Linked DNA regions of Macaca fascicularis. The protein of the gene in region 2 interacts with the protein of the main gene of each other region in a pairwise test. Links are inferred from orthologs where the notes say so. Each region holds a gene or a part of one and is shown on either strand. Other genes may lie near its edges.

The links.
Region 1: the proteins of KRT40 (region 2) and JOSD1 interact in binary tests that used the Homo sapiens proteins (3 or more experiments, as listed by UniProt). The two-hybrid records come from large-scale screens. The link is inferred for Macaca fascicularis from reciprocal best matches to the Homo sapiens genes KRT40 and JOSD1.
Region 3: the proteins of KRT40 (region 2) and PIMREG interact in binary tests that used the Homo sapiens proteins (3 or more experiments, as listed by UniProt). The two-hybrid records come from large-scale screens. The link is inferred for Macaca fascicularis from reciprocal best matches to the Homo sapiens genes KRT40 and PIMREG.
Region 4: the proteins of KRT40 (region 2) and RWDD2B interact in binary tests that used the Homo sapiens proteins (3 or more experiments, as listed by UniProt). The two-hybrid records come from large-scale screens. The link is inferred for Macaca fascicularis from reciprocal best matches to the Homo sapiens genes KRT40 and RWDD2B.
Region 5: the proteins of KRT40 (region 2) and FARS2 interact in binary tests that used the Homo sapiens proteins (3 or more experiments, as listed by UniProt). The two-hybrid records come from large-scale screens. The link is inferred for Macaca fascicularis from reciprocal best matches to the Homo sapiens genes KRT40 and FARS2.
Region 6: the proteins of KRT40 (region 2) and DLGAP2 interact in a two-hybrid assay, tested with the Homo sapiens proteins (2 studies listed by BioGRID). The link is inferred for Macaca fascicularis from reciprocal best matches to the Homo sapiens genes KRT40 and DLGAP2.
Region 7: the proteins of KRT40 (region 2) and MTA1 interact in binary tests that used the Homo sapiens proteins (3 or more experiments, as listed by UniProt). The two-hybrid records come from large-scale screens. The link is inferred for Macaca fascicularis from reciprocal best matches to the Homo sapiens genes KRT40 and MTA1.

Annotation. Positions count from the first base shown.
Region 1 is NC_088384.1:12,963,923-12,967,422, reverse strand, and holds part of JOSD1 (josephin-1), read right to left. Parts: intron 2,848-3,500; coding exon 2,719-2,847; intron 2,553-2,718; coding exon 2,358-2,552; intron 1,414-2,357; coding exon 1,314-1,413; 3' UTR 1-1,313.
Region 2 is NC_088390.1:62,064,418-62,067,782, forward strand, and holds the end of KRT40 (keratin, type I cytoskeletal 40), read right to left. Parts: intron 3,156-3,365; coding exon 2,994-3,155; intron 2,915-2,993; coding exon 2,789-2,914; intron 1,328-2,788; coding exon 1,107-1,327; intron 601-1,106; coding exon 501-600; downstream 1-500. UniProt on the Homo sapiens protein: May play a role in late hair differentiation.
Region 3 is NC_088390.1:6,486,092-6,490,178, forward strand, and holds the start of PIMREG (protein PIMREG), read left to right. Parts: upstream 1-1,287; 5' UTR 1,288-1,321; exon of another isoform or gene 1,322-1,462; intron 1,463-1,896; 5' UTR 1,897-1,931; coding exon 1,932-2,225; intron 2,226-4,087. UniProt on the Homo sapiens protein: During mitosis, may play a role in the control of metaphase-to-anaphase transition.
Region 4 is NC_088377.1:18,027,091-18,029,843, forward strand, and holds part of RWDD2B (RWD domain-containing protein 2B), read left to right. Parts: intron 1-124; 5' UTR 125-144; coding exon 145-351; intron 352-438; coding exon 439-506; intron 507-621; coding exon 622-984; coding exon of another isoform or gene 985-1,000; intron 1,001-2,086; coding exon 2,087-2,321; 3' UTR 2,322-2,753.
Region 5 is NC_088378.1:167,737,181-167,741,298, forward strand, and holds the start of FARS2 (phenylalanine--tRNA ligase, mitochondrial), read right to left. Parts: upstream 2,801-4,118; 5' UTR 2,430-2,800; exon of another isoform or gene 2,421-2,429; intron 2,291-2,420; exon of another isoform or gene 2,151-2,290; intron 987-2,150; exon of another isoform or gene 849-986; intron 1-848. Other genes in the region: LYRM4 (LYR motif-containing protein 4), read left to right, coding at 3,078-3,163. UniProt on the Homo sapiens protein: Is responsible for the charging of tRNA(Phe) with phenylalanine in mitochondrial translation.
Region 6 is NC_088382.1:1,818,539-1,821,532, reverse strand, and holds the end of DLGAP2 (disks large-associated protein 2), read right to left. Parts: intron 1,915-2,994; coding exon 1,696-1,914; 3' UTR 501-1,695; downstream 1-500.
Region 7 is NC_088381.1:173,603,274-173,607,486, forward strand, and holds the start of MTA1 (metastasis-associated protein MTA1), read left to right. Parts: upstream 1-1,413; 5' UTR 1,414-1,627; coding exon 1,628-1,688; intron 1,689-1,835; exon of another isoform or gene 1,836-2,037; intron 2,038-2,098; exon of another isoform or gene 2,099-2,302; coding exon of another isoform or gene 2,303-2,330; intron 2,331-4,213. UniProt on the Homo sapiens protein: Transcriptional coregulator which can act as both a transcriptional corepressor and coactivator. Acts as a component of the histone deacetylase NuRD complex which participates in the remodeling of chromatin.

The DNA.
Region 1 (3,500 bases), on a different chromosome or scaffold from region 2:
GATACATAAAGGAAACGACATAAAGATGACCAACCCAGGTCCTATTCCATCCATACAGTACAGAACCACCCAGCGGGAGCTTGGCACTATAGTGGCAGCCTCTGAGCCTAGAGCGTCTACTGAATTCTGGCTGTCCCTATTCCAAGCAGCTTATCTTCACAATACTTTCCTCACCCAACTCTGCCCCAAATTAGTGGAATTTGATGTCAAAGGCAGACTTTTTTTTTCTGATTTTGCCAGAGTAAGTAAACTGGGAAAACTGCTCTTTGGCTTCTCTTTTGTCCCAGAGCCTCCTAAATCAATGTTGCGAAATGGTAGGGACAACACTGGAGTGAAGAAACCAAGCCACCCCGTGGCTGTCCCAGTTTGGCTTTAGCCACATCCTGTTCAGTATCTTACTTCATACTGGAATATTAGCATGGAATATTAATTAATTTTTCATTATAAAACTCTGCCGGGTGCAGTGGCTCATGCCTATAATCCCAGCACTTTGGGAGGCCAACGCGGGCAGATCACCTGAGGTCGGGAGTTCGAGACCAGCCTGACCAACATGGAGAAACCCTGTCTCTACTAAAAATACAAAATTAGCCGGGCGTGGTGGCAGGCACCTGTAATCCCAGCTACTCGGAAAGCTGAGGCAGGAAAATTGCTTGAACCAGGTGGTGGAGGTTGCAGTGAGACGAGATCATGCCATTGCACTCCAGCCTGGGCAACAAGAGTGAAACTCAATCTCAAACAACAACAAAAAAAATCCTCCATGTGTGGCCATAAACCACCCTTAAACCCGGGGATAAGGGTTGGAGACAGCTCACTGTACCGCTGCTAGGGTTCTGGACATGGTTTCCTGAGAGACCTTTATGCTCTGGGTCCTTCAAACCAGTCACATGGGCTTTGTGTGCACTATCTTCAGACCCACTGTTTTCAGACCCAGACAGGACGGAAAGTGGAGACAGCATCTCTAGGTGAGTGTGGAGCAGCAGTGACAACTCAGCAGAACCTACGTCAAGTCCTCATAGAAAAGGGAAAATAAGCTAGGATTCCCTCCCCGCTCCACTTTCTCCTTTCTTAAATAAAACAAGGGTTTGTGACCACTGGCCTTGAGTGCACAGAGCTCCTACCTTCCTTGCCCAGGAACAAAACACGGGGTAGTTCTTACAACAGTCCACCCGTCTGTCCTATTGCACTGTCAGATCTGAAGGGGAAAAACCCGATGAGATGTTTGGGGAAGTGGGAAGGGCAGACCCACTGTAGAGGCCACAGCACATCACAGAGGACTGAGGGGGCTGAGGCGAGAGGGAGGTTGGGGAGAACTGCTACACGTCAGTCCTCCAACTCTGATGAGCCTCTACCTCTTCTGGTACCACCAGCAGGAGTTCACAGTTCTTTCCTCGCAAATGATGTTTTAGAAACTTCCTATGGAAAAAGAGACAGAAAAAATGAAATACTGTCAAGTTGCAAATTCCAGTCTCAGGACCACAAAGTCACCTGAAACCTTACTATACCCGTGGCGGCCCAAAACACATTTCTGTAGTCATCTGGCTTTGGAGGGGTCCACGTTTGGTTGTCCTCCAATCTTTCCAGTTAAAATTCCAACCTAAATTTTTGCTCATCCTTACAGTTACTGCCAACAGTAGCTGGATCTGTGAATAACAGTACCCAAAGTACTATAAAGGACTTTTTTTGGTTGGTTTGTCTGGAGACGGAGTTTTGCTCTTGTTGCCTGGGCTGCAGTGCAATGGCATGATCTTGGCTCACTGCAATATCTGCCTTCTGGGTTCAAGCGATTCTCCTGCCTCAGCCTCCTGACCAGCTGGGATTATAGGCGCCCGCCACCACGCCTGGCTAATTTTTGTATTTTTAGTAGAGACGGAGTTTCACCATGTTGGCAAGACTGGTCTCGAACTCCTGACCTCAGGTGATCCACCCACCTTGGCCTCCCAAAGTGCTGGGATTACAGGCGTGAGCCACCACCTCTAAAGGATTTTTATAAATGTTCTTTGGTCCTAGGGAAATTCAGTCCTCCTTGGCCTGAATGTCTGTCTTCCTTTCTATGAACTGGCAACTACTGTCTCAGTTGTCTTAAATGGAGAGAACATTACAATGCCAGCCCCACCAGACCAGAAGGTTGGTATCTCAGGCTGTGCATCTTCCCTACCAAAAGGACTTAAAAGTACTGGTGGGTCATCGAAGATTAGGGTCAGGTCCAAGACACTATGATTCTATGATTCTAAGGTAGGGAGAGAATCCAAGGGCACAGGAATTTCATTTCCTTTGTCAAATAACCAGAGATGAGCTCAGTGTCCCCAACATAAGAAATGAAGCAGCCTAGCGCCTTAGTCACAACAGGTGCTGATTACCTGAGCTCGCTCTCGCCTCCAATCCACTCCGGCATCTTGAGTTTGGAGTCGAGGTTGTAGTAGGCCCCTCCCACCTCTCGGACACAGATCCAGTGCTGCCTTTTGAGGGGCAGTTTCAGTGGACCCCAGCATAGGCTGGAGGGCAGATTCATGATGAAGCCCATGACATTAGTGAGGGCAATGACACCGACATCCCTGCAGGGGAGAAATGGTGGCAGAATCTGAGGCAGCACACTTCCCAAGGTTCCCTGGCTGTAATACCACAAATGGCTACCTCCCCACTCATGCCATGAGCCCAAGTACTAAAAGCTTATACCACAACCGTGCTGTTCTCCATCAAGTCAAGCCTGATTCAGATTACCTGCGCTTGTCCCACCAAACAGCTTCATAGCCTTTGGTCTGAAGTGCTGCCATAATGACATTCACATCGTAGTTGCCATTTCCCAGCATGCTCTTCTTGTGAGGTGTCACCATGGTGTTTGGAGACAACCTACCAATGTGAAAAGAGGAGGCTGAGACTTGCTGGGCTGGCTAACCCCTCCTGACCCTGCACTACCGGGGGTGGAGAGCACTTGACATCACTGCTCCTGGAAGTTAGTTTCCCAACATTCAAGTGAAATTTCCCCGGCTTCTACCTATTTTGTAACTGTTCCACGAAGGAGCCTCACTTATGAAATCCCAGCCTCCCACAGCCTTTCTGCAGTCTTCCTCCTGATACTGATCTTCCTGCCTCATGTAAGCCTTTTTTTTCAACACTGGAAAATAGGATTCAATATTTTCATTTGCATGGATAGTAACTGTTGTCACTCCTGCTTTCTATTTAAGGCATGTACACTTGGTAATCATTAATCATTAAATACTGAAAGGCATACAGGAGCCTAGACAGGTGACACAAATGTATAAACTGGGGTTGGACATAAGGCAATAAAAAGCAGTGAGGCCTATGTGAAACTGGAATGCATGACCCACCTAAAGGCATTGTGTGTGTGTGTGTGTGTGTGTGTGTGTGTGTGTGTGTGTGGTACTTGAATAAATTTTTCTTAAAATACCCAATAAATGAACTGAAAAAAAAGTTGTGCCCAGCAAACAAAACTCAGCTGCAGCACTGGTTTGCCCACCCAGCTTGAAGTCATTTACTTCCAG
Region 2 (3,365 bases):
AGTACTTTTATAATCAAAAAATACATTTTATTATTCTATTCCTAATTTTTTTCTCAGAAAGATACACACAACTGTTTTCTAAGATATATGACATTTTGCATGGGTTCATTAATGTGTTTGTATTTGAGGAGTTAAAAAATATTTTCAACCTGGGTTTTTGTATGTTGAAACTATGGTTATGGGTTTAGATGATTCTCTTGCCATAAAATGAATATTCTATCAACACTAATCAGCCATAGAGCTATATTTACCATGTGAAAGGAGTAAAACATGTTTTATTTGGAGATGAGCAAGAACGCTTTATGGGCTCCCAGCATACCACAAATAAGCCGGAAGGAGAGGAAATAGTAAAGCAGAAAGACTGAGGATACCTGGAGGGCAATTCCAGGATATGAGCGTCCCCTGGATTTGTGATTCCTGTTTGGATGCCCCTGGTTGAAGCCCCATCTCCTTTCTAGGATGCTGCCGGCTTTGATTCCTCTACCTGCTGTCCTTAACATTCACAAACAGCAGTTTTCAACCGTGCAGATGACATAGGCTGAGCATGGCTCACAAGTGTTGCTCGAGGTGCATGTGGTCGAACATGGGTTACAGGAAAGCCTGGGGAAAAATTGATGTTAAACCAAGCTTAGCAAGGGAATCTTGATAAAATGGAAACTCAGACAAACCATGTCAAAGTTTGTCCACAAATTATGTTCTGAAAAAAACTCTGCACAATAGCATTGACTGAAGCCTGTTTCTTCTCTGCACCCAGAATTGCCACTTCATGTTCACTGTAGCAGTGGCAGTTGAATAGAATTTTATATTTTTTCTTGATTTTGCAAATGTTATCTCAGGCCTATTCCTGATTTTCCTTTAGTGGAAAACAGGAACAAAGGGAGATGCCAGTATGAAATGTTACACTAATAATTAATCTGCCTTTATAATATTTTTAAAATATCTCTAGTGTCATGTGCTTAACCTCAGCCACTGTTCAGCCCTCTTTTAAGAAGATCCCTGAGCACATTGGGGAGGTTTGAACTTGTCCAGACCTTGGGGAAACAGGATTCTTTTACATCAGCCTCTTTGTGACTCTGGGGGATATCATGAGTAACTGTGGAACTTGCCTGCTGTCCTCACTGTCCAGCAGGCCCCGATACGTGTTGATCTCGCCCTCCAGCCGGGCCTTCACGTCCAGGAGCACCTGGTACTCCTGGTTCTGTCGCTCCAGGTCGCAGCGGATCTCGGCCAGCTGGTTCTCCACGTTATCGATCAGGCACTGAATCTGGGCCAGCTGGGAGCTGTACTGGGCCTCGGTTTCTGCCACGGTGCATTCCAGAGATTCTGTCTGCAGGAGGAAACATTGTCCAAAGGACCATGAAGTGCAGTCTCTTGGGCCAGAGTGCCTACTTTCAAATCCTTGCTTACCCTTTTCTAGCTATGTGACCACTGGCAAATTATTTAGCTTCTGTGAGTCTCAGTTTTATTCTCTATATGCAAAGTATTTGTCTCATTAGAGGGTTGTGAAGATTAAGAATTAATATGTGTAAAGCATTTAGAACAGTGCCAGCCGTACTGCCACTGTTCTACATGTCAGCTATCACTACCACCACTATGACTACAGCAATACATGACTTATTTGTGAAGCTTAAGGACTATCAACAGCATATGAGAGGAAAGATTGAGTTTGGGCTCTTGGCAGGGAGGGGTAGTATAGTGCTGTTAGGAGAAGAGGCTCTGGATACCAGAGGCTGGGAAGGGCATGTGTGTGGTAAGGGGATGAAGAGAGGTTGGTTAATGGGTGCAAACATACAGCTAGACAGAAGGAATACGTTTTCATGTTGGACAGCAGAGAAGGGTGACTACAGTTAACAACAATACACTGTGCATTTCAAAATAGCTAGAAGAGTGGGCTTGAAATGCTCCCAACACCTAGAAATGATAAATACTTGAGGTGATGGATGCTGTAAATATCCTGACTTGATCGTTACACATTCTATGCATGTTACAAAATAGCACATCTACTCCATAAATATTTACAAATATTGTATATCAATAAAAATAAATTTAAAAAGAGAGAGAGAAGAGGCTCTGGGATTCAACTGGCTGAACTCAGCTTCCAAGTTTGCCTCTTAGAATTGCATCCTTTGCAGGTTACTTAATCTGAGTCTCAGTTTTCCTTATCTGTGTCATGGGATAAAGGTATCTATCCCGTGAAGTTACTGTGAGGCTTAAATGAGCATAGTGCCTCTCACTGGATGAATGCTCAGCTATTGTTCTCCTAGGTATTCTCCGCAGGATCTAATGACATGCACACAGTGGTGCTTGACCAGAACTGGTTCATGTCATCTTGGACGCATGGTGTTCTTGTTGCTTGAGTGGGGTGGGGTACAGTGAAGGATCAGGTTGAAGTGTAGATCCTGTAGGGAAACTGTAGGATGAAATGTTTGAAAATGATTCTTTGTTTTAGATATAACAGTGAGCCTGGAAAACTGGCCTGAATCAAATGAGAATTAAAACCTGCTGGAATGCTTAAGTGACCATGGCCTGGAGGTTTCTCTCGCTCTGCTTCTCCCTCCCTGTCTCTGGAGGCTGCTGCAGCATCAGACTCAAGCCCAGGAGTGAAGGTAAGGCATCTTAGAGGGACAACACAAGCTGTGGACCTGTCACTTCTGCTTCTATTAATACTGGGTAAACGGCAGTACTTGGGAAAGGCAAGGAAATGTGATCCCTGGATATGGAAGAGGGCTTAACATCTCAGAGCCTGACTTATCAGTGACATAACGGACACTGCCTTTGCCTCACGCACCAGGCTTTGCTGTGCTTGGAGCTCAATTTCCAGAGCATTGGCTGTGCGTTTCAGTTCCAAGATCTCCGTCTGGCAGCCCTGCAGCTGCTCCGCACTGGACAGTTGCTGCTGATTCAGCTCTTCTGTCTGAAACACAGGCACCATTAGAGAATTCACAAAAGGCGGAAGTCTGTAACCTTGCCATTTTTTCGATCTGGGTGCTGACCTGAACAGCGAACCATTCTTCGGCTTCTCTGCGATTGTTGGCAAGCACCGTTTCATACTGACAGCGCATCTCATCCAGGACCCTGTTGAGGTCAAGGGTGGGGGCAGTGTCCAGCTCCACACTGAGGCGGTCCCCAAGCTGTCCACGAAGCAAGCTGACTTCCTGAAAGTGGGATGGCATAAAGATGTCACAGAATGATGGGGAAAAATCCATTTGACATCCAATGGCATTCTACTTCTGTTTTGTGGAGTAGTAGGTAAAAGTGTGAGATTTTGATTCAGGTTGTCTGGGCTGAATCTCTTTTCACCACTTAGAAGGGCCTCAATTTCTTCGTCTGTAAAATGGACATAATAATCGGACATTTTTCCAGAA
Region 3 (4,087 bases), about 56 Mb from region 2:
ATCTCTACTAAAAATACAAAAAATTAGCTGGGCGTGGTGGCGGGCGCCTGTAATCCCAGCTACTCGGGAGTCTGAGGTAGGAGAATCGCTTGAACCCGGGAGGCGGAGGTTGCAGTGAGCCGAGATCGCCAGGCTGCACTCCAACCTGGGCAACAAGAGCGAAATTCTGTCTCAAAAACAAACAAATGCCACCAATATACGAATTTGGGCATTACATTTCCAACATGTGAAATTTGAGGGACACATTCAAACCATAGCAGAGGGTCAAATCAGTTAATAAACTGCAACACCAGTACCTGTGCATACTAAGGGCCATATACACGTTAATCATTATCATCATCCTTTCGTTGGAAATCACTGAGGCCAAAGGAGTGGGTGAGACCGCCCAGAAACGAAGAGGGCTGAAGACAGTCTTTCAAGAAGTCAGCATCTCAGGTTCTTGTGCCGGAGAGGTAACAAAGAAACCAGCCGGGGGACTGGGCAGCACAGCTCTGAGGTCACCGAAAGGAGAAGGATGAACTTCTATAATGGCTGATTGTGTTTGGATGCTAAGGAGAGGAGAGGCAGGCATTCCGCTGAGAGAGGGAGGGATGCGTGGGGCAAGGCGGGGACGGGGAGCTGGTGTAGGCGGGAGGAGGGCAGACGGGTACTCTGGTCTATCCCCGCTTCCAGGACGCATCTTCTGGGAGGGGGGCGCGGAGCATGGATGGCGAGTATGGGGAACTCAGAGAGGGACAGTGTCTTGTCACAGGAAGGGAGGGTCAGGAGGGAAATTTGAAAGGAAACGTCTCTGGGAACCCAGGGCTCCGCACTGCCAGGCCCTGGCTCCTTCGGACAAAACCACTGAGCAAGAAAGAAAAGCCAGACCCCTTGGCAGGATGGACAGGGTCCCTGCCCACTGCGGGGTCTGAGGCCTGAGCCAGGAGGCCTAGATCCCAGGACCTCCGCCTCCACCCCAGGGATCAGAGCAGCCTCAACCCTGTGCGCGCTCCAGGGAGGGGACCCGGCGTGCGATGCGCGGGGGCTGGGCGGGCAAGGGCGGTGGCCCGGGCGGGACGCATAATACAAAGCCCGGAGCCACGAGGCTGGCGGCCTGGAGGGGGCCGGAGAGATGAATGGGGACGGCCGGGCCAATCCGAGCGCAGCATTTACAGCCGCGACAGAGAAAGCCAATCGGATCCCTGGGGCGGGGACGGGGGCGGGGACAGAACCAATCAGCTGTGAGGACGGGGCCTGGGGCGGAGCCGCGCAGAGTTTCAAACCGGCTGTGGTGGGCGAGGAGCAGCTGTGCTGGGCGTGTGATCCGCGTTGGTGCTGTCGGGTGAGTGCGGGCGGGGCACAACAAATTTCGTTCTTGTTCCCCAGGCTGGGTGCAATGGCGCGATCTCGGCTCAAAACAATTTTTTTTGTTCAGAGGGGAGGGCATCGGGTTCGGACACGCACGGCCTGTGGAGGCGTCTGGGTACTACAAGCGTCGGATCAAAATCGGGGCGTCTGGTGGGAAGGCCGGGATCTGCGTGGGGGCGCGTTTGGTCTGGGCGAGCTGGTGAAGGAGATGGTGATCGTGTCCTGGGCCCAGCGCTGAAGCTCGGCTACGGCGTGTCTTGACCCCGCCTCCCCTCCTCGCCTGAGCCAGAGAGAGGAAGGAGGTTGGGATGAAAAGACAGCTGTTTTGGAAACTTGAAGTGCGGGACAGCAGAAATGCTGCTGACCCGAGACCTCTCTTCCAGGAAGCATCCTCCTTCCCGCACCCACACTTGCCAACTCGCCCGCTCCCCGCTCGCCCTCGCCACCCCGCTGCATCCCATCTCTTCCCCTGTGTCCAGGGTCTCTGTGGGGCCTGGAAATGGGGATGGGGAATGCCTTGCTGACCTGCTTTTTTGCCCTCCTCCCCAGGGTCTAGTGGACAGAGAAGACTCTTGGCCAGACAAATGGCTTCTCGGTGGCAGAGCATGGGGACCTCTGTGCGCCGGAGATCTCTCCGGCACCAGGAGCAGCTGGAGGACAGCAAGGAGCTGCAGCCTGTGGCCAGCCATCAGGAGACCTCTGCAGGGGCCCTGGGGTCTCTGTGCAGGCAGTTCCAAAGGAGGCTGCCCCTGAGAGCCGTCAACCTCAACCTCTGCACAGGCCCCTCCTGGAAACGCCTGGAAACCCCAGAGCCAGGTCAGCAGGGCCTCCAGGCTGCAGCTCGCTCAGCTAAGAGCGCTTTGGGTGCCATGTCCCAGGTAATACTGACAATACTAATCATCTTTTTAATGGAGTGTTTCCTTGGTGCCAGACAGTTCCTGCCCTCAAAGAGCCTCAAGAATATAGACTCCAAGAAGACAGGGATTTTGGTTAGTTCACTGCTGTTTCCCCCGCACCCCAAATAGTTCCTGGCACATATAGGCGCTCAACAAATAGTTGAATGAGTTAGTGAAAACATGTCTTGGAGGAAACAGATGCTCACAATACCAGGTGATAAGAGCTGTACGTGATAGGAAATTGCAAGCAAGTGGCCAATAGCGAGGGCTCGCCAAACACAAACTTAGCCGGTGAAGGCTTCCCAGAGGAGATGATTCCAGAGTTCACCCAGGGAAGCAAAGGTCAAGGGGTATTTAGGGTAGGAGAAATAGTGCAAGTCCAGAGCCCCTCAGGTCCAAGCCTAGAGCTGAGGGAAAGCAAGGTGTACTGCCAACTCAGCCGTGTACCCCTGAGGAGAGCCAGAATTGTAGTCTGGGTATGAGCAGAGGACAGAGAGCAAGGTAGAGCCGGGAGAAAGGACATGAAGGAGCTTAGACTCTCCCAGGAATGATCAGGAGTCTGGAGGATTCTAAACAGTGGAAAGTCTGGTCTCATTAGCATATTAGAATTTGTCCTTTATCTACGTGATGGAGAACGGAATAGAAGCAGAGGTGCTCCTGAAGGAGACTAAGGATCTGGACTTGCAGAGGATAAACTTCAGGAGCTGCTGAGAAGGTCAGTTAGAGGGGATTTGCTGTCAAATGAGAGGTGCTGGCAGGAAGATGTCCTTATATTGGATGTAAGCGTCTATGGGCCCTTCAACCGATGCATCTTTAAACCCAGAGCTGGAGGTGTAGACGTGTCACTTAGAAAGGACAGAAGCCATTAGGATGAACAGACCTCCAGAGAGAGGACTGGGGGCTGCAGAGGTTTCTCCTCGGTGTCTCATTGGGAATTCTGAAGACGAGAGAATTCTCCAGAAAGAGGGTGGCTCTTTCTGGACCCTCTGCAGAGAGTTCTCTGAGCCAAATGTTAGTCTTTATTTGGAAGAACTTTTTGATTGTTTTCGCCACCCTCAGGGATCAGAGAAATGAAATGAATTTGTCCAAGGTCACGTAACTCATCAGATTTAACCTGGGCTGGGCTCCAACCCCTGGGCTCTGGCTTGCCAAGGCAAAGACAGTCGAGCTGATGAAGAAGAGCCTTCACAGCCGTCACCCAGCTGGTGTGAAAGGCCCAGGAGTTGGGGCTTGGTCCTATGTGCAACAAGAAGCCATAGAAGGGTTTCGAGCAGTTGAGTGTCACAGTCAGAACTGCCCTTTAGAAGGATCACTATGGACCACTGTAGAGGGTGGATAGAGTGAGTGAGACCCGAGGCAGGAAGACAGGCGCTCTCCTGGTGTGCAGGGGGTGCTGGGCGGGGGAGCCTGCTCTACTCTGGGCCCTCTCCTTCAGTCTTGGGGTCAATCTGTGTCTGGAAAGAGAGTTTGGACTTAGACAAACAGGCTCCAGGCACCAGGGGGATCCTCCTGCTGCTGACTGCTGCTGTCATATCCAGGAGCTCTGAGCTGGGTCCCTGCCATGGACTCATTCTACGAGGAGTCAGTCACATCCTTCACCCTGGATACTAAAACAGCCTGTATTTACAGGACACTTGGTGGGTCTAGGGATCGCTGGTAGGGTCTGGAGACCAGGGTAGTTTACCCTTGGGTTTTTTGTTGTTGCTTGTTTGTTTGCGAGACAGGGTCTCACTCAGTCGTCCAGGCTGGAGTTCAGTGGCACGATCTCGGCTCACTGCAACCTCCACCTCCCGGGTTCAAGTGATTCTCATGCCTCAGTCACCCAAGTAGCTGGAACTACAGGC
Region 4 (2,753 bases), on a different chromosome or scaffold from region 2:
AGACTAATTAAATTGTACAATTTACGAAGAAATCAAATAAAATTTTAGTAAGTACCCTTGTTGATGTATTCATTTCTTCTAAGATTGCATATGTAAATTGTCTCTCTTGTCTTTACCTCCTTAGAAACTTACACATGTCCAAAAATGATTGAGATAGAGCAGGCGGAGGCCCAGCTTGCTGAGTTAGACCTGCTAGCCAGTATGTTCCCTGGTGAGAATGAGCTCATAGTAAATGACCAACTGGCTGTAGCAGAACTGAAAGATTGTATTGAAAAGAAGACAATGGAGGGGCGATCTTCAAAAGTTTACTTTACTATCAATATGAACCTGGATGTATCTGAGGAAGCAATGGTAATTCAGTTTTGCTTTTGGAAGGATTGAAACATGTTGAGACTTAAAACATTGGTTAGTGCACTTTTTCTTCTTCTCTTTAATCAGGCGATGTTTTCTCTGGCCTGTATTCTTCCTTTTAAATACCCAGCAGTTCTGCCTGAAATTACTGTCAGGTACGTTACAGAAGTTCTGGCCAACTTTAGAGGTCAAATTAATCTGAGAATAAAAGCAACTCTTGAATTTGTTTTCTGTTCCCAGACAATTGTTTTCTTATATCTTTTCTGTTAGATCAGTAATATTGAGTAGATCCCAGCAGACTCAGCTGAACACAGATCTGACTGCATTCCTGCAAAAACATTGTCATGGAGATGTTTGTATACTGAATGCCACGGAGTGGGTTAGAGAACACGCGTCTGGCTATGTCAGCAGAGATACTTCATCTTCACCCCCCACAGGAAGCACAGTCCAGTCAGTTGACCTCATCTTCACAAGACTCTGGATCTACAGCCATCATATCTACAACAAATGCAAAAGAAAGAATATTCTAGAGTGGGCAAAGGAGCTTTCCCTGTCTGGGTTTAGCATGCCTGGAAAACCTGGTGTTGTTTGTGTGGAAGGCCCACAAAGTGCCTGTGAAGAATTCTGGTCAAGGTTTGCTTTCACATATGTATGTGAAGTCATGTCAAAAATTTTAATAGTAAACAAGATACAGTCATGTGCTGCCTAGTAATGTTTTGCTCAACAGTGGACCACACATAAAACAGTGGTGCCATAGGATTATAATGGAGCACATATAGAAACCTGATACATGGCACTTGATCTTCCCACTATTGAATATCAGAGTGATATTCAGTAATCGTGCTGGGACATTTGCTTTTCTATATGAAAAAATATAAATACAAAAAAAGTACCATCTAGGTTTGTGTAAGTACACTCTATCGTGGTGGTACAATGACAAAATAACCTGAAGATACATTTCTCAGAATGTATCCCCATTGTTGAGCAACACATGACTATTAGAGATTTGGAGATAAGTATGTCCCGGGGGTTGTATCTTTATGGGGATTCAATCTCAAGTTGATAGATACGGCAGAAATCGCATGTAGTCAGCATTTTCCCCCTCACCTGACAAGTACATATAGGAGACATTCTGTAAATATACGCTGAATGAATTGAGCTCCTGCCCAAGACACGATGACCCCATCCACTTCCATGGATCTGATCCTTCCCTTATCTTAGTGATGCTGCAAACTGTATACCCTATGAAGTAAGGGGCTTTCTAGAAGCACTAGAGTTGCCACTAGTCTTCTCATTTCTCTACTGATATCCTAAATGAATTTCTGAGAAGATCCATTAATAGTTTGGGATTCAGTAATTCCTACATTTCTAAACTACTGATACAAGGCCGTAGTAAGGGCAACAAATGAGTTTGGGGATGGGATTATGACCAGAATCATATTTGATTAAAATAAATCCCTCTGAGATAAAAGTAGGTTTCTTGGGTGGGGTGTGATGACTCACACCTGTAATCCCAGCACTGTGGGTGGCTGAGGCAGCATATCAATTGCAGCCAGGAGTTTGAAACCAACATGAGCAACATAGCAAGACCTGTCTCTACTAAATAAACAAAAGTTATAAAAATTTTAAAAAGTAGACTACTTCTAGGAAAAGGCATTGATAAGTCTGTTTTATAACTTCTGTTTTATGTGCTCTATACATTTTGAAAATGTTTACTTTGGAAATTTCTTTTCAGACTCAGAAAATTAAACTGGAAGAGAATTTTAATCCGCCATCGAGAAGACATTCCTTTTGATGGTACAAATGATGAAATGGAAAGACAAAGGAAATTTTCCATTTTTGAAGAAAAAGTGTTCAGTGTTAATGGAGCCAGGGGAAACCACATGGACTTTGGTCAGCTCTATCAGTTCTTAAATGCCAAAGGATGTGGGGATGTTTTCCAGATGTTTTTTGGTGTAGAAGGACAATGACAGTAAGAGTAGTTGAAAGTATCTTGTCACTGTTAGTCTTTTGATTTTTTTTTCCCACTTTTTCTTGAAAGATTAAGTAAGTAATTTTATTTTAGTTCCATTCTAGAACGTTGGGGAGTGGGGGACAAGAAAAAATAGTATAGCTGAAATGCATCTGTTAAAAATGTCATGATTGAAAGCAGAACTGAGTTTTAAATTACAACCTTAAAATTGTTAGATATTTCTTCACATATCAGCTGCCCATTTTGAAAAAGAAATGATCCACAAAGGTGATGTTGGTGCTCCAATTTGCCAGCCATTCCCAACCCCCTTCTCCCTTACCTGCCTTCACTAAAGAACCCAGAAAAGCTAATTGTTTCCCTTTCAGCCTCTGTTGCAACTAACAACTCTCAGTGGCCTCAGGACACAGCTTTGGCCTTGGGAATTCTGGGG
Region 5 (4,118 bases), on a different chromosome or scaffold from region 2:
ACAAAGCATTAAGTGGTCATTGACAACCCTAATTTTAATAGAAGGTAATAAATGATCTTACATAAAGAACTACAGGTAGTCGGTAACTTTCGATAAACGAATACTAAAGAAATTTTTATGTTTTGATGCCTAAATGGTACCTCCTACTTTACAGATATTCGCTAAGAAAAATTTCAACCCAGAATAGAATGCATATTAAAGGACATATGTGTAAGGTCCATTCTTCAGCTTCTGGCCCAATTCTACTTACAATCTCAAATAGAGTTTTTTTTTTGTTTTGTTTTGTTTTATGTAATCTCTGCAGTGAAGATGTGCAAAAGTGAGATGTAGCTTCAGAATGATTATTTTCTTTTAGTTTCTCCAGGCAATGATGTCCAACACATTGGTAAACCATTTTAAATAAAATAATGAGGTATTTTTGTGAAGATTTGGCTCAGAATTAACCGGGAAGCTATCACTTTCCTAACTGCAACCATTGCTCGTACTAATGGAGGACTAAGCTACCCAAACTATTTAAACTATACATATTTATTTGGAAAAGTTTTATTTGATTACAACAAAGTTGAGTCATTTAGATATACCATATACATTAATGATTAAATTCCTTGATAATTAGGTAGAAACAATTGTATATAGTTATTCCAACTTTACTCTCAAAAGCAAAATATAAATAACATAATCCTTGCTATTTTTAAACAAGCCAAAATAATCTTCAAGTTTTTCCTTTTCACTCTGATAGCATTCTCTATCAGCAACTTGCATTAATGTTGCAGCTTTAAGGTGCCGCATATCATTTCATATCACCAGCACACAACAGTGTATCAAGAGAAATCAGCTCTGAATCTTACTCTGTAACAATGTGCAATTGCCTTGGTCTTGGATCCTTTAAGAAATACCAAAGGGAAAACTCAAAACTTTTCAATAAACCCGAGGGTAGATTTGCTCAACGACCTGACCAACCAGGAAGTAACAGAAGTTTTGCTATCCTGTTGAAAAAAAAACAAAAAAACAAAAACAAAATCACAGACATGAGATTGTCAAGAAGTCAGGGAGGAGACTTAAAGGTATCTTAATGAAAGTATTTTCTCTTCAGTGCCTTTTAAAAAATGTCACTGCATCAGGATTAATAAGAATATCTGGATGCAAGGACACCAGGTTGCAAGTACACTAAAGAATGGTAAGGTCAGAGAAGTGTTTCCTGCCTTTAAAGTTCCTGAAAATAGAGGCTAGGCGTGGTGGCTCACACCTGTAATCCCAGCACTTTGGGAGGTTGAGGCAGGCGAATCACAAGGTCAGGAGTTCGAGACCAGCCTGACCAACATGGTGAAACCCCGTATCTACTAAAAATACAAAAATTAGCTCGGCAAGGTAGCGCGCGCCTGTAATCCCAGCTATTCGGGAGGCTGAGGCAGGAGAATAGCTTGAACCCGGGACGCGGAGGTTGCAGTGAGTCCGAGATCCTGCCACTGCACTCCAGCCTGGGCGACGGAGAGTGACTCCATCTCAAAAAAATAAATAAATAAATAAAAGGGAAAAAAAAGTTCCTGAAAATATAAAGTTGCTTAGATATACAGCAAGTTTATCGTTTTAAAACCAAATACACTAAAGCAGATGAGAACACAACCGTGACCAAGCGGTTGGGAGAAAGATGGATTTTAATGCAAAGTTGTTTTGTTTTTATGCATAAGGTACTCCTCGCTGTGCTCGAGTGCGGAAAGGTGGGGTTCTTCCTAAGGTTGATTACATAAAGCAAGATTCCAAAAACAAGAAAAGTGCTTTGCAAACACAGTAACTAGAACTGGCTGAAGCTTCCAGCGTCCAGTCCCATGCTCAAAGATCAGAAAAAGCAACTTTATCCACCACTTTAATAAAATGATTCAAAAAAGTTGAAGTCTTCTTAAGAAAGCCATGGTTGAAAACTTGCTCCGCTTCTTGGAGAACGCCTAAAGCCCTAACGGGCTCAAATTATTCTCCGAAGTCTAGAGCCCAAGCTGCATTTTACGCATTTATTAGACTACAAAACCACGGGGACTCTTCACTCAAAAGCAAAAACACATCCGGAAAGAGGAAAAAATCCATGGCCAATGTAACCCCCTAACCACACGAACCGCCCACGTCCTACCCCAGGCTGCAACGAGGTCGGCACTCACCCACCGCTCGCCCGGGAAACCCAGACCCAGGTATTTCAAAATCAGAAGCACGGCAGGCTCGTAGGCTCTCACGGGCAAGAATCTTAAACCCCAACTTCAGAGATACCCGTGCACGCTGGGCGCTGCCATTTTGACAGAAAGCGGGCCTTGCCCCGGAGGCCCCTACGCAGGTCGCCCTGAGCAGAGCCGGAGTGCCACGGAACCCCTGTCTCATCACCTCCACACCCAGACGTCGCATCCCCCGGCCCAAGGAATGCCAATAAATCCCACCCTGCCGACCATGATCGGGCGAAGTTAAGTCACCCTTGAAATCCCGCAAGGTCTCTCAGGCAGCGGCGAGGGCGGCCGCCGCCAGCGTGGGCGGGGCTGTTAGGGGCGGGGCGTCGACGCGGCGGCCTTCGGTAACCCGGGCAACGCGGCCTTCTAAAGGCACAAAGGGGCGCTGCGCCCCGAAACACAAATGTCTCCGCCAAAACCCCAGACGGTTCGCAAAGGCTCTCCGTGATGCAACTGCACGTCCCTCGAATGCCCGGACCCCCAATATCCGTCCCCCAGGAGCTTGGCTGGATGCACGGGCGGCCGGGCCTCTTATTTTCTCGCCCTCCGGCCGCGTGGAGATGCTGCTGGATCCCGAGCCTCCCGGCGGGGGCGGAGGCGGGAGCGGGGCGGGGCGGAGGCATCTCCCTCCTTGCACCGCCCCTTTAGCTGCCCCGAGCCCTGCCTTCGCCCGCCCCCGAAGCGGCGCGGGACGCCCGGCGCGGTCTGCGGTCCGCAGGGCTGCCGGCTTAGGCTTAGGACCGGCCCGCTGGCAAGGTCGAGCCGCTGCATTTTATTTCGTGCGTGGTTTCTGCACAGGCTGGAGTTCCGAGGTTGGGTCGTACTTGGGACCTCGGCGAAGAGGACCCGTTAATTTTTTTTCTTTCCAAAATGGCAGCCTCCAGTCGCGCACAAGTGTTAGATCTGTACCGGGCGATGCTGAGAGAGAGCAAGCGTTTCAGCTCCTACAATTACAGGTGACCCAGCGGGCACCGGGGACCGGGGGCCAGGGGCCGGGGACCGGGGATGTGGGTTGCCGTGGAATGTCCCCGGGAACTGGGAGCCACTGTCCTGCGCCGGCGTCCGCGAGGCAAGGACCGGGCTCCGCCATCGAAAAGCGTGCTCCTACCTACAGGTGTGGCCTCTGAGACCTCGGGGAGGAGCCCTTGTTTCTATCAGGGAAGACGTTCGTGTCCTGTGACGCTTTCCCCCTAACGACTATCTTGGTAGTTGTTCTAGGAGCATAATTAGTGTTATGTTTCTGCAGAAGAGAAAAAAAAGGATGGAAATCAGCCATTGGTGAAGTTAAGGCCAATGTGTTGCATATGTAAAACTTCCCTTGAGCTGGAAGAGTTGAGAGTGGAAGTGGCCAGTGAGTTGCACACAGCGACAAAGCTGAAGGCACACTTTAGCAGCTCCCTAAAATTTCCTGGGTGTCGTAATGAGTTCTTTTGGTTGCAAGAATCAAATCCATTCTATTTAGGGTACGGTGGAAACGTGTAGCGGTAAAGGAAAAAGCGTCTCAAGCTTTAGAGCTGAAACAGTTTATCCTGGCTCACCAGACAGAGATCCCGCTTCCTGGACCTTGACAGCAGAATACTGAGGGCCTAAACTCTTACATCGTTAATATAACACATTCACTTTTTCCCACGCCTCCCCATTTCCCTATTTGCCTATGAGTCTTTTATTGTTACTCTTTGTATGTTTTTTGTAATTCAGAACCTCTGCTTTCACAGTGTTGCTGGTTGTGACCCATCATTTTCTTATGGATTCTCTCTGCATTTTTTTTAGGTTTGTTTTTTGTTTTGTTTTGTTTTTACTAACTACCTGCTCCTCTCTGAGTTTGAGCCATATTCCCATGAGAAAGAATCTGATTGGATCAACTCATCTCTTTACCCCAAGGCCCCCTTAGGTGACTGGCCAGACTGTGGA
Region 6 (2,994 bases), on a different chromosome or scaffold from region 2:
CGAATGAGGCAGGGAGACCCCGCGGCTCTGGAGGGCGCTCTGCCGGACAGCTGCGCCTCGAACGCCCTGCCAGCCACGGGCTGCAGAGGGGCCGGGGACGCTGTAAAGTGCAAATCAAGGTGAAGAAACAAAGTGCTATGGGTCGTCCTCGAAAGCGGTTCTGCCTGTGGCTAAGTACATGGTACTCCTTAAGCCGGGAAGGAAGACCAGGTACTGGGGTGGAAACATCTTACATCGCAGTCCTGCTTTTACTCTGAGTAATAACGAGGACTCTGAAACTGGAACCCAGTGGGAAAATCTGATAGGCTTTTCCTTCGAAGACTGGTCTGAACTGTGAAACAAGTCGTGTTGGAACAACGGTCATGGCAGCTGAATTTAATGATACACACGGAGAGCCTATTAGTCGTTCCTATTTTCCTCTGGCACCGACCACAGAGTCATGAACACTAATTTTTTTTTTTTTTTGAATTCCACAGCTGGAAATCACAATATGTGACCTCTTTTTCCCTTCAGGTCTAACACAGGCAAGGAATATATTCTTGACTTAAGCAATACTGCATTGGACAAAATAATTCTGGAAAAATACAAATGTAAACTACATTTCTTCTTTACCATTTAAACTGAGATATACTTACCACTCACATTCATATTTCTGAAACTTTTTACAACATCACAATTGTCATTTTAAACAAGCAAACTTTTTGTGTTTTTTTTTTTTCGTGGTTTTTTTTTTAAGGATACCCTGGAAAGTCAGCTGATAGAACAATTTGAGAATATATATATACATACATTAAAAAAAATCACATGTAGCGTAAATGGTGAAACTTAAAGAAAATACTGGGTGTCGTATTTTAAGTTACAAAGAAATAAAAAATACAATAACTATTTCATAGAAGTAAGGACATTGTTTCCCCTTTATGCTCCCAGCCCTCCGTAAGACTCTCCTCTCTCTGCCTGTGACTTCCTCGTGGGAACACTCGGCTTATCTTTTCAATGTGTAGATGCTGTGCTGGGTATTTTAGTGGGTTCAGATTTGTCATCCCCTGGGATGCTGGAGAACTGTATGGTGGGGAGTTTGGTGGCTGGAGAGAGAACCTTCCCTCACAGTAAGCTGGACACAAGGAGCCTAATGTTTTCTACCTGTGACAAACAGGAGCAGGAGAGCGGAGCGGGTGGATGGGCTGCCTGTGCTCAGGGAGCAAAAGCTCGGGTGTGCGAGGGGAATGGGCCTTTCTTCCTGCACTTCAGGTTGTAGCACCTTCCACTTGGGTGTCTAATGCCTCTAGGGGGTGGTGAGATGCACCCATTTATAGTTATTTGTTATTCTTACCTCTAATTATCACACAATTTATAAAAATAGAAATAACAAAATGTAAGCTGGGTTCCAGCTCCAGAGGCATTTCTCGCCGTCCTCTGAGAACACGGAGGAGAAGTCAGGTCTCACCACGCCTGTCCCTCAGAGCCGAGTGTGAGCCAGGCCACCAGTTAAAAAAAAAACAAAAGTCGTCCTCGCCACGAGCTCCGTGGACTCTGAGGCCACTGACCGCATTCCACTGTGTTCACGGTACAAGGAGCATGAGAGCAAGGGCGTGTTCAGTGGAAGAAATGACAGAAACCACCAGGGAGGCAACAAACTGTACAAGCGTTTTGTGAAAAAGCAGGAACAACCAAGGGGAAGGTGGCCGGCCTCCATCCTCAGAGCCGGGTCTGGGCCTCGGGGATGTAGATCTCGATGCTGTCCGCGCGCTCGGTGGCAGAATTCTGCCGGAAGGACGCCGCTCGCTTGGCGGCCATGAGTCGTCTCCGGGCTTCCTGACGTTGTCTGTCGGGCAGGTCCAGGGATTTTTCTCTTGTGATGGGAAATTTCCCTTTGGGGGGCTTCTTTGGTATTGGAGGTGGGACCTTTCTTTCTTCCTGAAAAGCATCACAAGTCAACATTGGCAGGTGGTCGGAGGTGGGTCCTTAACAGCTCAGTGGCCCTGGGGTCTGGCCCACACCCTTCCCGACCACAACCCCCGTGGCAGCATCCTTCATTCCCTTCCCACGTTTCCCCTGGTCCCTGACTCCCAGGCCACAGGCTTGCCTTCTGCACAGTATGTAATTTTAGAAGCTCCCTCACACTCTGAATTCAAAGGGGGCAGAGGTGTTGGGGGCAGGGTTCACGAATCAGGAAATACATTCTGCAGATTCGCGCCTTGCGTCTCTGGAGTCACTGAGTTATTCTGACATTGTTGCCTGATTCCTGCACTTCCCGAAGCCCTGTGTCATCTCCTCTGAGCATCGGCCGATACCTGCGTCGCCAAGCTCGGCACTGCGAGGGTTTTGGACACCATCGCTGGACATCCCTATTAAACACTGCAGGGATTTCCGCAGACTCTGGGATTCCAAGTGTGTTCATGAAAACCATCTTACATGGGTGGGTGTGTTGGGAAACACTGGCCGAATTCTCTTGTTGGCCTCAAATCCCACTGACATGGATGATATTTACAAAACCACTATTCACTGGCTTGCTTTGTAAAAAGATGCAAGTAAGTATTCCTGACCCTTAGCTCAGATTCTCAGATAAGTCGCGCTAAAATACGTGTATGCCTTTTTAGAAAGATAAATCTCACAATTACGCAACAAATGCAAAGGGTAAAGCTTGCACTTGCCCCCGCAAAACGTCTGTGTCCACAACTGTGCGTTCACATCGTTCCTAAAGACAGCGGGGCCTGCCCCGTCTCCCCTTCTGGACGGAGCCATGACAGGGACTCTGTAGCCAGCTGTTTCCTTCCCAGGAAAGGGCGCATGGCAGAAGGCGTCAGAACCACTTTCCTAAGTCGGTATCTAATTTTGGGGGAGAAAAGCACGAAAACCCCACTCGTGTCTTTTTCTCTTCAGCCTCTGAAACATTCCACAGGGAGCCCAGAGGTGCTTGGAGATCGGGGAGACAGGTAGTAGCGTGAGTGCGGAGGAGGCCTGTGGCACGGAGGCTGCTTTGGTGTCTGGAACTTT
Region 7 (4,213 bases), on a different chromosome or scaffold from region 2:
AATCCACCTTTTTCACTGGTCTGGAGTGGGGAGGCAGAGTAGGGGTCGGCTGGAGGAACAGGGCTCTGTGCTGTCTTTTGAGAGTTTACTAAACGTCACTCTGCATGGTAAGGGGTGTGTCCTCTTCGCTGCGGTGTCCTGGCTTGAAGTTCAGATTGTCTCCCTGGGACACCAGACCCTGCGCCGTACTCCCTCCTAAGGACAGCTTTGACTGTCTCCCCTCCAGCAGTCAGTTCTCTCCACCCCCAACGGGAGAAGGAGCAAGGCTGGTGTCTGCAGGAGTCTCCCCTCCAGGCCAAGGCCAGGGGAGAGTGTGCATGTCACTGTCAGGATGTGTCCTGGTGGCGTGGCCGGGTTTTCAGGGTGAAGCGCCTCCGTTTCTGGGATGGCAGCGGAAGCAGGCACTACACACACAGCTTCGGGGGCTCTCCCCATGCCTCCTAGCTGCCTGGCACTTTCTGTTGTTTCTGGCTAACTTTCTGACCATGCCAGGAGTTGGTGGAAGGAGATCTCAGGCCGCAGCGTTGCTTTCCTGCTGAGGAGACAGAGGTAGGCCGGGGCTGTAGGACAGGGGAGGCAGCAGCCCCACCTTCTTTCTAGGGAGACACTGCCTGTCTGTCATTGCCCCTCTCCTGCACCTGGCCCCTGGCTGTCTGCTCTTCCCACCCAATCACCAGCAAGCCAGCTCCTGTTCCCTGCGGCCCGTAGGATGTGTCCTGGGACCCACAGCCCTCTCTCCCCAGAGACAGCACTGCCTTGCAGCTTCGGTTCCTGGCCCTGTGCTAACCCTGGCAGGGTTTTCCTTTCTAGTCTGCTCTGCAGCCAAGACATTGTGGCCACTGCTCTCCTCGGGACCCCCACCTGGCTTTCTCCCAGCACATGCTGTTTTCTGCCCACCTGGCTGGTGTCCTGTGTGCCGGATTCCCTATGCTCTGTCCCCAGCACCCTGACCACATCTGTCCCACCTGCCTAGATCTTGAACCGTGGGCACAGGGCTCCCTCCTGATAGCCCTGAACACTCCGCTCCATGTCCTACAGGGAGGGATGTCCCAGGTAGATGTCAGCTCCCTCCAGTCACTGACCTCCAGCATCTGAGCAGGCAGGGCCGAGACCCATGGTGCTGCTCAAACCAGCAGCCTGGAGCCCCAAGACAGCTCCTTTTCCTCACCTCCCCCAACACTGATGTTGCACCTGTCTCCAAGCCACTGTGGGACCATCTGTTTTTCTCCATCTGGGAAGCCCCCTTCCCACCTCATGCTCTTCCTGGCTGGGGCGTCTGGGTCACTGGACTCTCCTCTCGTTACACCTGTGCGCGCACGCACACACGCACACACGCACACACACACACACACACACACACACACACACAGGAGGGCATCCTGACAGGTGGTGGGGAGGGAGGGCAGCTGCCTCACTGTGGAAAGGGCACGGCCGCTCCCGGACTCCAGCCCTGTTAGGGCTGGGGAGGTCAGCAGGCGCTGGGTTCCAGCCTCAGGTGGGGTCTTCGGAGGTGGCCTTTGGGCACAGGCACCTCCTCTGTGGCCTTCTCACCAGGTCACAGTTCAGGGAGGCTTTGCCGCCTACGGAGCCTGCCCACACCAAGGCGCGCACGGTCACCGGTCCAGAGATGCCATGCGGGCTGGGCGGCGAAGGCCAAGGACACACGCTGCCTGGTGTCGGGGGCAAAGGTTAGGCCTGGAAGGGAGGTGTGGGGTGGGGACCCCGAGGCCAGGGCTGGGCCGCTGAGCTTCAGGGCCCTTGTTGGGGGTCAGGGGGGAATGCCGGAGGACCCCAGCATCAGGAGGAACCCCCTGGAGAGTTATGGCAGGACTCACCTGTGGGGCACAGGAAGAATCACCAGGGAAAGGACCCTTGTGGAGGATCCCCCTCTACCCCCAGGGCACTAGTGGAGGATCTACCAGGGGGGTCTGGTGGAATGGCCCACCGGGGAAGCGGCGCGCGGGGAGGACTCGGGGGCGCCGGGAGGAACTGTCCGGGAAGGGGCGCACGGGCCGCGGGCGGCGCGGGGTCGGTAACGGCCCGCGCGGTGGGCGGCGGCGCCCGAGGCCCCTCCCCGCCGCCCGCGGCCGCTCCTCCTCTTCCTCTCCCGCCCGCGCCGCGGCCCTCCCGTCCCTGCGCGGCCTCGGCGGCCTCGGCGGCGGCGGCGGCGGCGGCGGCAGCAGCGCGGCCCCTTTAAACGCCTGCGGCGCCCCCCGCCCCCGCCATCGCGCCTCCATTTTCCCGGCCGCCCGCGCCGAGCGCCGCGCCCGCCCCGGGCCCCTCCGCCGCCGCCGGCCCGGACATGGCCGCCAACATGTACAGGGTCGGAGGTAAGGCCGCACCGCCTTTATGCCCGGCCCCGACCCGCCCGCAGCCCCCACCCGCCGCCGCTGCCGCCTCCCCCGCCCCTCCGCCCCGCAGGCCCCGCGCCCCCCGTCCGCCCCCGCGGCCCCCGGCTCCTTCCCGAACCTCCCCCCGCAGTGCTCACCCCAACCCAAAATGGCCCCGCGGGTCGGCCCCATCGGGGGCGGGCGGGGCGCGGCGGCCCGGGGGTGGGGGGCGGCCCACCTGTTGGGGCCGAGGGGGCGGCCGCGGGGGTGGCGGAGGGGCGCGGGCGGCCGGGGACATCCGGGGGGCCGGGGCCGGGAGCCCCCCGCGGGAGCACGTGGCCTTGGGAGGCGCCGGCTGCCGGTCTGGGAGCAGGAGTTTTGGGGCTGTGGGGTCTCCCCCGGCCCGCGGCCCTGTGCTAGGACTCCGGTGCGTCCCCTCTGCGGATGGGGAGCCCCGGTGAGGGGCCGCGTTCCTCCCTAGAGCCCTCCTGCAGCCTGGCCCCGGGGCTTCCCCCCGCAGGGCTCTCTCAGGGGGTCTTCAGCAGGGAGCGAGTATCCCGAGCACGCCTCTAAGTCCCCCCAAACTTTTCCCTGCCTCCCGCTCACCTCAGCCCATTCGGGAGGCGCTTTGCTAGGGTTGGGGAGAGACCGGAGGGTCCCCTGGGCAGGGGCCCGGGGCTTCCTCTCTGGGTCAAGCCTCCTGTTGCTCGGGCCCCGCGGGCCTGCAGCTTTGGGCCTTGCCCTCCTTCGAGTGCCTGGGACTCCGTGGGGTCTTTCACAGGGAGATGGGGGGTCGTGCGCATTCCATCATTCCATCAGTGCCTCCCTCCCCGGGACTCTTGAGACCCCTCCCTGCCTGTGACCCTCTCGGCAGGTGCCCATTGCCTCTCCCACCTGCAGCCTGCGCTGCAGGAGGGAGCTGGGGTCTCTCTCGCTCTGGCCTGATCCCCATGCCCGTGACCCCGAGTGCCCAGAACACGCCGTGTCCCTCGAGCGTGGCCTCTGCTGCCTTGGACGCCGTGTGGTCTCGCCGGCCAGCCCTGTGACCTTGGGGACGGTGGGAGCCCCCTACACCCCGTCTGTGAGATGGGCGGTCAGTCTGCATCAGCAGCTCTGGGCCTCCCCTGTCCTCTCACAGAGGCAGTGGGCCTGTGCCCATCCAGCGTCAGCCCCCTCCCACAGCTTCATACAGCTTTGCCAGGTCCCTGTGTGGACACAGGTGGGCTCAGCCCACCCCACGCCTGGGGCAGCCTGGGTGTGGGGTCCCTTGAGGGAGCGACCTGTTTCTTCCTGTTCTTTCTCCCCACCTGGAGATCCCCCTTCCAGCCTGACATGAGGGCCCAGTTTCTCATCCCGGTAGAGAGGATGCCTACTGCCTGGGCTCCAGCCGGGCCCACTGCGCATGGTTTTGGGATTGGTCCCAAGAAGATTTCTCCCTGCCCCCACCCAGGCTGGGGTTGGGGAGTGGTGGCGGCTTTGGGCTCTAGGGCTGGGGACACCCCGACCCCGACTCGTGCCTTCCCAGTGGCTGCATTGCTCGGCCTTCAGGCCCGCCTGCCTGTGAACTTGGCGCCAGCCTGGCTGCCCCCCCACCGTCCCGTGCCTCGGTTTCCCCATGGTGTGGGTGAGGACCTCGTCTCTCAGTCATCCTTCTGTGCCCTGTGGCAGCTGTGCTGTGGCTGACGAAAGCCAGGACCCTGCCTTGTCCCGTCCCGGAGGTGCAGCTCCCCTGGGCCCTGCACAGGCTTGGGAGGAGCCCTGTGTGGGTCTGCACCGCCCTCCCTGAACCCTCTGTCCCTCTGTGCCTGGAGGCCCGTCCCGGGGCCTCACTGACCCACAACACTCCAGTGCTGTGAGGCTGGGTGGCCTGGACCCCCAGGCTG